2 linked regions of the Arabidopsis thaliana genome follow. The protein of the gene in region 1 interacts with the protein of each later gene in a pairwise test. Each region holds a gene or a part of one and is shown on either strand. Other genes may lie near its edges. The genes, in order: ARAC9 and SPK1.

Region 1 (4,514 bases):
GTAAGCTCCATCAATGTCTGCAATAAGCATTAAGGAAAGAACACTAAGACAAGTGGACAACACTCTTTATCTTCTAAAAGATTTAATGCAAACAAACTAGCTAATCGCAATGTTTAACCAAACAATAGCAGATGCATCATATTATGACAAGATAAAGCTTTTTTGAACAGAGGAGCAAAGGATACTGCCTTGGTATTTAGATCGCGGGTAGTAAATATCCTCGCATTTTGGGCAGTATATCTTCACAGTGCTCGACCTCGGGATATCAGATTGGCCAACCGGAAGACAAGACTGTCCGCAACAGAAAACTCTGGGGCATCTCCCGAAATCATAATTCTTATACTTCTCCATCTACAAAAGAGAAAGATATCATTCAAAAGATCAATCAGAAACAAAGATGTAGAAGAAGTATCTTGCTTACCATAGCAGCCATTCCTTTAGTAGTGAGAATATAACGAACATGAATAAGACCATATAACATCTCAGCAGCTGATTCCACCATCTCATGCTGTTCTTCAGTAAACATATCACCTAATCCAATAAACATTCCTCCAAATTATACAACAATTCTCAGACAAAGTAAAGCCTAAATTCATCAAATGGACCCTTCACTTACCATTTGATGATTCAACATCTAAAATGAGATCAAGTGCATAATCATAGTAAGGAACTTGACCACTCAAACCACAGAGATTGAAATCATCTTGTATATAATCTTCATCTACTTCACAGAAAAACTCATTCCCTCTCAAATTACAAAACCATGAGATCCAAGAGGTATCATCACCTTCTGAACCACTCACATCTGATCCTTCACTATCCGTGTCAGATTCAACTGCATCCACAAAGAATCAAAATTTATTAATACCCAAATCAGAAAGTACTAAAACCACATGAAATTGAAATTGAGTGAGATATAAGCAATTAACCATCGGGGGAACGAGAATGAAGCTGAGATTTAGCAGTTGAAGTAGAAGGGACAGAATCTTTGTCCTTAGAAGTGAAAACCCTAGATGTAGAAGGTGAAGATTTCTTAAGATGTTTGTCTAAAGCATCATTGATTCGTTTCCGATCAATAGCTCCACCAAGGATCTCCGATCTCGATGATCCACCACCACCCATTATTCCTCCTCCACTCCGATCCTTGTACATAACTCGATTCGATTCCCTCAATGAAAAAAAACAAAATTTTTCAGCTTTAGATTCTCAAAGTCTTCGACTTTCTTATCATCAGAGGAAGAAGAGGGGCGGATAAATCTAGGGTTTGTTTTTTCTTCGATAGTTTGATCACAGAGTAGAAGAAAGAGAGAAGAAGAGATAAAGAGTGCTCTGCTTTTCCCTGTGGTTTTTTCTCATTCTCTACTGTTTTGTTTTCTTCTCTTTGTTTTTTTTTTTTTTTTTAATCATTGTTTAATTTTTTAAAATTCTAGTATTTAGAAATGGGCTTTTCGGATGGGCCTTATGACACTGACAGTTGTAATACAAAGATTCACGTAGAAGGAAACATTTTTTTGTACTTAAACTATGATTCCAAATTATATCTTAGGAAGAAAGAAATCATAAAATTCATTTTTTTTTGTATCAACACGGTAGTAATAATGGACTTGCCTTTCCATCTTTGTTAATGATGATGTGTTTGGTGGTCGATCCATTGTCCAAACTTAAATCGAAAAAAAAAACAAATGATCTAGAGATAATTAAAATTACACATCTTGTAAAATTAGTCATGTAAATGTAACTGAATTTACAAAATTTGATTTGATATAACCACCACTTATTTTCATTTTGCTGAAACATTTGGACCTTTGCATTTGCATTGATTGGTGAAAAAAACAAAGCACTATAATTTGTACAACTTTCATTTCTACCAATTATAATTTTTTTTATCAAAAGCGTTACTAAAAGATTTTTCTCTCAGCTTTTTTATACATTTTTTTTAATATAACTGTTTTTTAGTAATTTTATACTATTTCAAAAAAAGTTAACAGATAAAAGTTATGTACAGCTATGTGTTACCAATTAGAGTTTTTTTGGAAAGAAGTAAAATATGGCAAAATCTATCTAAATTCAAAAAATAGGAAAGAAATCAAACCCACCGAATAAAAAATTATTTTTAAGGCGTTTTGGCTCTCTGACAGCTCAAATTAAAGTTGACTCCTTTTTTACCACTCAAGTCTCATTCTCATTCTTCACTTGAACCAGAATAAAACCACAGAAAGAGAGAGAACAGGGTAAGTAAAATCAGAGAATTTTCTCAATCAATGTCAGCTTCAATGGCTGCAACATCAACATCATCAGCAACAGCTACAACGTTTATAAAGTGTGTCACTGTTGGCGATGGAGCTGTGGGCAAAACTTGTCTTCTTATTTCCTACACCAGCAACACGTTCCCCACTGTATATAAATCCATCTCTCCCTCTCTCTCTTTTGGATTGCTTTTCTTGATAGCTTTTGGTGACTGTTGAGATCTTGTTATTACAGGATTATGTTCCAACAGTGTTCGACAATTTCAATGCTAATGTTTTAGTCGATGGTAAAACTGTCAATCTGGGTCTCTGGGATACTGCTGGTAAATGCTTTTACCTAATGTCAAAGTTGTTCTTGTCTTTAGCTTTATATCTACAACAATATGTCAAGGTCTAATCTTTTGGTCCTTTTAAAAGAAGTCAGTTGAAAAATTTGAATCTTTGATGCAACATTGTTTTGGTTCTTGAATTCACTATCAGATTTTGCTCATGTTTCTTCAAAACTTAAATGAGACCAATTATGATTCTTGTGTTATATATCTTTTGGGTGATTCACATTATATTACAGGTCAAGAAGACTACAATAGGGTTAGACCATTGAGTTACAGAGGAGCAGATGTTTTCATTCTTGCCTTCTCACTTATTAGCAGGCCTAGCTTTGAGAACATTGCTAAAAAGGTTGAGACTTGAGATTATCTTTCCTTTTACTTTTAATTTCACTGTAATTTAACTTTACAACACTGATCTCATGTGCATATGGATCGGTTTTCTTTCGCAGTGGGTACCCGAGCTGAGACATTATGCCCCGACTGTGCCTATTGTTCTTGTGGGAACCAAATCAGGTTGAAGATAATGAACCACTCTGTTATGTCTTGAATGTTAGGAATCTAACATCAATGTGTAAGTGATGTTATGTAGTATATAAGATGAATTTCTTGATATTGCAGATCTAAGAGACAACATGCAGTTCCCAAAGAATTATCCAGGTGCTTGCACAATCTTCCCAGAACAGGTATGTTTTTTTAAAGATTCTTCTTCAATGTATATGATCAAGAACCATGTTAAGAATCAAACTCTTTTATAACTCAAAGATTGCTTCTTTTATAGGGTCAAGAACTAAGAAAGGAAATAGGAGCATTAGCATACATAGAGTGCAGCTCAAAAGCACAAATGGTAAAGTAACCATTAATGCTTGAGTTACATTTTACAATTAGACCAAATATTTTGGACCTCAATCTGATAAAGAAAGACTTATGATGATGCTAAATTTGCAGAACGTAAAAGCCGTGTTTGATGAAGCGATCAAAGTAGTTTTACATCCTCCTTCAAAGACTAAGAAGCGAAAGAGAAAGATCGGTTTATGCCATGTTCTTTGACTAGTGTACTCAAGTCTCTGGCTTTGGTTTGTTTTACATCTTTTTTAGTGTGTTTCTTCTATGAAGGACTCTTGCAGATTTTAGTATGATTAGCTATCTTCGTTATAAAAGTTTGATCTTGTAGTAGAGATTCTTGTAACAGAATTATAAGCGAATTCTCGTCTATCAGTCTATGTAAAAGAACAATGTTTGTCTTCTTTGAGTTCAAGAGACAACAACAAAGAACCGTTTTAGCGCAAAAAGAAACAAAATAAACCGATTGAAACAGAATCGAAGAATAAATAAACCGGGTTTTGTTTTTTGGCTAATAACCGAAACCGAAATAGAATAAATCAATAAAATCTCAATTCTCTAGTCTTCTCCTTTAAACTAGAGTCGATGTCTAGCTCCAACGAACCACCGCGAAAAACCGACCAACCATCGTCGTCATCGGCATCGGCATCGGCATCGCCGTCATTGTTTTTGTCACTGCCACTGGAAATCATTTCGATGATCTTAGCCCGCGTCCCAAAACGATATTACCCAATCCTCTGCTCCGTCTCCAAGAACATGCGGAGTCTTGTTCGCTCGCCTGAAATTCACAAGGCTCGATCTTTACTCGGAAAAGATTATCTCTATATCGGCTTCATCGACGAAAATTATCGCCCCGTATACGACTACTGGTACACTCTCCGGAGAATCGAGAACAGTACGACCGAGAATCTCTTCGAATCCATTGAGTTCCCTTATCCTTCCGAGCCTAATCGATTTTCCATGAACGCCGTTGGTCCAAAGATCTTCTTCATTTCAGAATCTTGTACTCCTTCATCAAGACTTTCGATCTTTGACACCCGATTTGGGGAGTTGCGTCAAGGACCTTGTTTGCTAGTGAAGCGAGGGTACAATTGCGTAG
Region 2 (5,161 bases), on another chromosome or scaffold:
ATTCCGTATGTCCAACTGATCAAGACAGTTTAAAGAGATTTTAGATATGTATTTCCTCCAGATAAAAGCAGCAATATACAGTAAGATGTTATATCAATAAAAAGCATTCCAGTTATTTGTCTGATGACGTTACCAAACACGATTCAGATCTGAATTTTTTTGTGTGAGTAAAAGAAGAGAGAGCTCGGAAATCTTGTTTTCTTGTGATGTATTTAGTAATATACTTATAACTAACTACACTTCAGAAGGGAAAACAGAAATGAAGAACTTCTATTCCTCAAAACTTATGAATTAAACACCATGACCTAATTGTCAAATGCTACCAAAATTGATTCATTCAAATAGAAAACAAAAAAAAACTGTTATCAATTAAATACAGAAGTATTTTGTCAATCGACTGTGCATGCAACTCTACTTGCTTAGATACATATCCAGTTCAGGAAAACCCAACCAAAGTGTACCTAGCAAGTAGGATTTTCAAATTGAACAAAATCTATGAAAAATGTTCCACACCATGTGAAGTTCAAAGCACTGTAAATACAATCATAAAGAACATGGTAAAAACTGTGGGATTTGATAAGAAACATCCTACCTGAATGGACTCTTCAGAGTAGCTCTCTTTAACTTTATTTAAATTAGATATTTCAACTACGACAGAACTTCCACCTGAATAACCTTGCTTTCCATCTGATGTGATCTTTGCAATTGGTTCATAAACACCATCATGGGAACTTGACGCAGTCATACTAGGAGCAAGAGGACTGCTAGGGGAAGCAGATTCACCAGTGTTTGTGGTGAGATTATTATCAAAAAGCGGAACAACTGCCCAAGCAAAAGACTCTCGGTAAGGCATAATGCGAGACCAGACCTGCAACTTTTGCTTTTCCCTCTCAGTTAAGTGCACCTGATTCACATAAATAGGGTAATTACTAATTGTTATATCAAGATCCAGCTATCACCATGACTACTCTAAAATATATATCAAAACAAAGAGTAAAGACAGATGATATATGCCATTATAAGTCACAGGCTATCTCCAAGTTACTCCAAATAAATGTTGAAAGACACAATCTCTAAGACCAAGGCATTCACATGAGCAAGAGACTCTAGAGACAGTAAGGGAAAATTCAGGATTTTGGAAATTACAGGCTCTTTACGGGAATAGACAGATGATGTAACGCCTCCTTCCTCAGTTGCTGTTTTTTCTAATTGAATAAGCAGGCAAACTGATGCTGATGGGGCATCTAGATAAAATACTCCACGATTTTCAGATGAAAGTTTAGCCTGCAAGAAAATGTACAAGGGGCGGCAATTTCGCAAAAATGACGTGAGAAAAAACTGAAATCACCTTTTATATAATCATGAGAAGGGAAGAGGCAAAAAGAGGACAGTTGGCTCTAATCAGTTACTTACATCCTGCATTTCCGTCGGCTGAATCTGGAAATAAAAATCCTCAGAGAGTTTCTCCTTCCTCTCTTGATTGTACAATGCAATCGAGCCAAAAAATGGTTCTGCAGGGATGCAAGAGAAATAAAGAAGGAACTTAAAGAAGTTGAAATAACTAAAATTACAGAAAATAGACAGCAGTTAGTCAGAATCCTCACCAACTAAGCCAGACTGAAAAGCTAGAGACAAAACTCTGACAGAGATCTTCAATCCACTGTGAAGATAATAAAGAGGAACAGAAGTACAAATCAGACAAAGATAATAAGATCAGGTAAAGCATAGTGACATGCAAAAAAAAAAAAACCTGGAATAGCTAGCTGCAGGAGATTCAGGAGTTCTCTGACCAAAAATCATAGCTCTTTCATTTTCCCAGTCAAAAGCTGGTTCATAAGCAGGTAAAGGAGGTTGCCCAAAATGCTGAAAAAAAAAAAAAAAAGCAACACCTTCAAAGTAAGAACCAAAGGATGAGAAATATATAACAGAGCAATGAAGTGAGTAAAAGAAGACACCTTAGAGGATCCAGGATCAGAAAACGGCCTCCCGGAAATACTGGCAACATCCTCCTCAATAGTTGCACTCCTGGCACTAGCAAGACGAATCTCTGAAGAAGCAGAGAGTTAATTGATGTACAATAATTGACAAAAGCAAAAAAAATAAAAATAAACAATGCATCATAGTTACCAGTCTCAGTATCAGTATCAGGTCCTTCAAAAATCTGAGTCTGGAAAGAATCAGGTCGAATATTTTCATAGTGACCGTATTTGTTAACATCTTTAACCCATTCAGTGCCATAACATTGAACCAATTGATTCAAATGTGGCCATTGTTCCAGATTCTCATCAAGCTGAAACAAAAGAGAAGAAACACATTAACGAAAAGAGAGAGAAAACGCGAATAAAGGTTGAGGAGAGTTTAATTACCAAAGGATCGAGCTTAGGGAGAGCAAGAGGCTGACGAGGTAGCTTACGAAATCGAAGACCAAGATTGTTGTTCTCCATTGAGATAGATCTAATACAATGTGAGGTACTACTACGCCATTAGAGAGAATTGGGGATTTGTGAAAACCTAGAAATGGGAAAAGGACATTGTTGGAGTAGTAAGTAGATCTGAGTGGGGGAGCTAAAGGAGGAGAGGAGGATGAATCTTTGTCTTTACGCAGAGAGGAAGAGATCCGTGAGAGGAAGCAGTTGGGAGAAAAAGTGAAGATTACTCAAGAGGAAAGCAAAAGTCGAGCTGGAGCTGTAAGTCCAACAAGAGTCCAACTCTACTGTCCCTTTTTTCTTTTTAAATAACAAAAGAGTCAATCATTGGGACGACCAAAGACGATGATACCTCACCTGAACCAACTTAAAGAATTGGAGTAAGTAGTAACCATTTTCACCAAAAGTCATTCCAATTCTCATTATACCAAACAAAATGGAATTAGAAAGTATACGGCTAAAGAATTTAGTTGTCACACTTTATTGAAATTAGGATTGTTGATTTGTTTCTACGGATTCATGTTGAGATAAACCGTAAACGAGTTCATAGTTACCTTTGGTATCTATGAATCGGTGAATCCCAATCTTTAGCCATTGTTTCAGAGTTGTTGCCATTATAGTCTACCATTGCGGCCTTTTTATATATCATTCATGTTAGCATTAGGGTTATAATTTCTAAAAATTGATCACCTCTTTAACTTGTGCCTAGAATGTTAGGCAGACCCAGCCAAAAAATTAAGTGGGTGAAAAAACGTTACACTGGTTAACATAATTATTGGGCTTCGTGGCTTCTCTCTCGTTGACGGAGAACTTAACGGTGTGTGATTCCAAGTCGGATTAGAACCTCCGTTATATATCAATGGGAGTTTTGGCCGCTTGTTGCTGTTGAGTTGTGTTGTCTTTGATTGAAACGACGGCGTATACGTCCATTTTGTCCGTGACATATTCGATATGGTTGACGTCACTAGCTGATACAATTTTGAGCTCAAGAGTTGGGTTCTCCACGGCTCTTTGCAACTGTGATGAAGATATTTTCGAGAGATCTAGTATTGTTTGTTCTAATCTTGGGAAAATGTCCAAGTATACAATGATCTATGAGATTCAAGTTAACCAGTTTCTCATTCACATGAATCTTTCCTTTCTCATGTTAAAACTATCTCGCCATTTGGGTTCCCTGTAAAATATGGTTGTCCGGATTTTACTCCAACTAACAAATTTAGATAGAAAGAAAGAAGAAGCAACAAAATAAAACTAATGCCGAGTAAAAGAATCAATTTGCACACTCCAACAGATAAGATAAACCGAACAAGTTTGCGGATACACAAACATGTGAGGTAATGCTGCTTTCAGAACGTATTTATTAAAAATAAAGAGGAGGGTTGTAATAGAGTAATGGAGAAGAAGATAAGAATCAAGTATGAATGATCTTGTAAAGGGTTTTGGTCTTTCTTCACATCCCTGATCATCCATCCAGCTCACTAGGAGTGTCTGTCACTATAGTGTGAAATACAAAATTTGGAAACGTCTTTGTTACGTCTCTACACAAAACACAACATACAAAAACATGTTAGTCCCGCACGAAGAAGATAATAAGGCAAATAACATGGCTAGCTTACTTGAGATGTTGAAGGCTCATGTTCTGTAACAGAGAGGGGTGGCGCAACACAAGACTCCTCCACTCTTCCTTATCAATCTTCCCGTCCAGTTTAGTATCAGCTTCTTCAAATGTCTACACACACCAATCAGTTTTTACATCTCTTGTCAAAGATTAAATATGAGAATCCTAGTTAGTGTCAATGGAGGAGATCAACCAAACCCACCTTGTCTATGATGCTCTCAATCACATGATCAGAAAGGTTCATGCCAGATTCAGCTAGAGTCCGCACAACCATTTGCTTCACCTCCTGTCTCTTTATATAACCTTGCTGATTCAGATCATACAGCTTGAAAGAGACTGCAGAGACAAAAGATGAGCTTGATCCAAGGTTTGGATATGACAAAAAAAAAGAAGGTCAAGTCTCTCTCGACCACTTACACTCAATCTTATCCTCAAATTTAGCATTAGGGTGAAAGACCGAAAGTGAACGAGCAAAGGCTTCAAAATCTAGAATCCCAGTATTCTTGGTATCAAACAAGTCAAACACCTGCAAAGCTTGAAGTATGAGTGTACAGCAAGGAAACTCATATAAGTGAGTTACAAGTCTATCTAATTTACCCTATCAGCAAAAAGGCTTCTCGTTGTGTTCATTTTGAATAGTACCAATTGAAATTGTTCCTGCAATATATTTGAAAGGATCCTAGTGAATGTAGAGGAACAGAGAGATATAGTACTCGTGTCCGACTATGGATTCTTGCATACCTTGTCGATAAGCCCGTTTTTGCTAATGCTCTTGAACAGTTCGTAAAGAGCTTCAATCTCATTCACTGTAACTGCATTTGGTACATAAAGCCATTGTTGGGGTTGTGACAAATAAAAATAGTAAAAGTAAATGTAGGGGTAGACACATACACACAGTGCCTCTAGCCACATCCTTAGGGTTCTGACGAACCTTGGGAGGATCAGCATCACAACAAGTCAACAGAATTAAGGCTAAGTGCTTTAATCCATCTAAACATTGCATCATCATCTCTCCCAAAAGTCACTATGTCCATGCCTACCACAAACAGAAAAAAGGTTAAATCCATTGAATGTCAACAGAAACCCTCTAAACATATGGCATCAAGAAAAAAAATCA

The links.
Region 2: the proteins of ARAC9 (region 1) and SPK1 interact in a two-hybrid assay, tested with the Arabidopsis thaliana proteins (one study listed by BioGRID).

What each region holds. Positions count from the first base shown.
Region 1 is NC_003071.7:18,427,015-18,431,528, forward strand, and holds ARAC9 (RAC-like 9), read left to right. Parts: upstream 1-2,106; 5' UTR 2,107-2,261; coding exon 2,262-2,396; intron 2,397-2,481; coding exon 2,482-2,569; intron 2,570-2,814; coding exon 2,815-2,924; intron 2,925-3,024; coding exon 3,025-3,088; intron 3,089-3,193; coding exon 3,194-3,258; intron 3,259-3,353; coding exon 3,354-3,419; intron 3,420-3,520; coding exon 3,521-3,622; 3' UTR 3,623-3,868; downstream 3,869-4,514. Other genes in the region: CKB4 (casein kinase II beta subunit 4), read right to left, coding at 1-17, 186-351, 422-531, 617-835, 930-1,152; AT2G44700 (Galactose oxidase/kelch repeat superfamily protein), read left to right, coding at 4,001-4,514. UniProt on the Arabidopsis thaliana protein: Inactive GDP-bound Rho GTPases reside in the cytosol, are found in a complex with Rho GDP-dissociation inhibitors (Rho GDIs), and are released from the GDI protein in order to translocate to membranes upon activation.
Region 2 is NC_003075.7:9,238,617-9,243,777, forward strand, and holds the start of SPK1 (guanyl-nucleotide exchange factors;GTPase binding;GTP binding protein), read right to left. Parts: upstream 3,014-5,161; 5' UTR 2,981-3,013; intron 2,784-2,980; 5' UTR 2,445-2,783; coding exon 2,367-2,444; intron 2,291-2,366; coding exon 2,128-2,290; intron 2,048-2,127; coding exon 1,956-2,047; intron 1,864-1,955; coding exon 1,751-1,863; intron 1,661-1,750; coding exon 1,605-1,660; intron 1,512-1,604; coding exon 1,414-1,511; intron 1,285-1,413; coding exon 1,147-1,284; intron 905-1,146; coding exon 593-904; intron 1-592. Other genes in the region: CBL6 (calcineurin B-like protein 6), read right to left, coding at 3,889-3,964, 4,043-4,155, 4,247-4,380, 4,462-4,570, 4,642-4,701, 4,786-4,856, 4,936-5,053. UniProt on the Arabidopsis thaliana protein: Guanine nucleotide exchange factor (GEF) for Rho and Rac. GEF proteins activate small GTPases by exchanging bound GDP for free GTP. Controls actin polymerization via the two heteromeric complexes WAVE and actin-related protein (ARP) 2/3.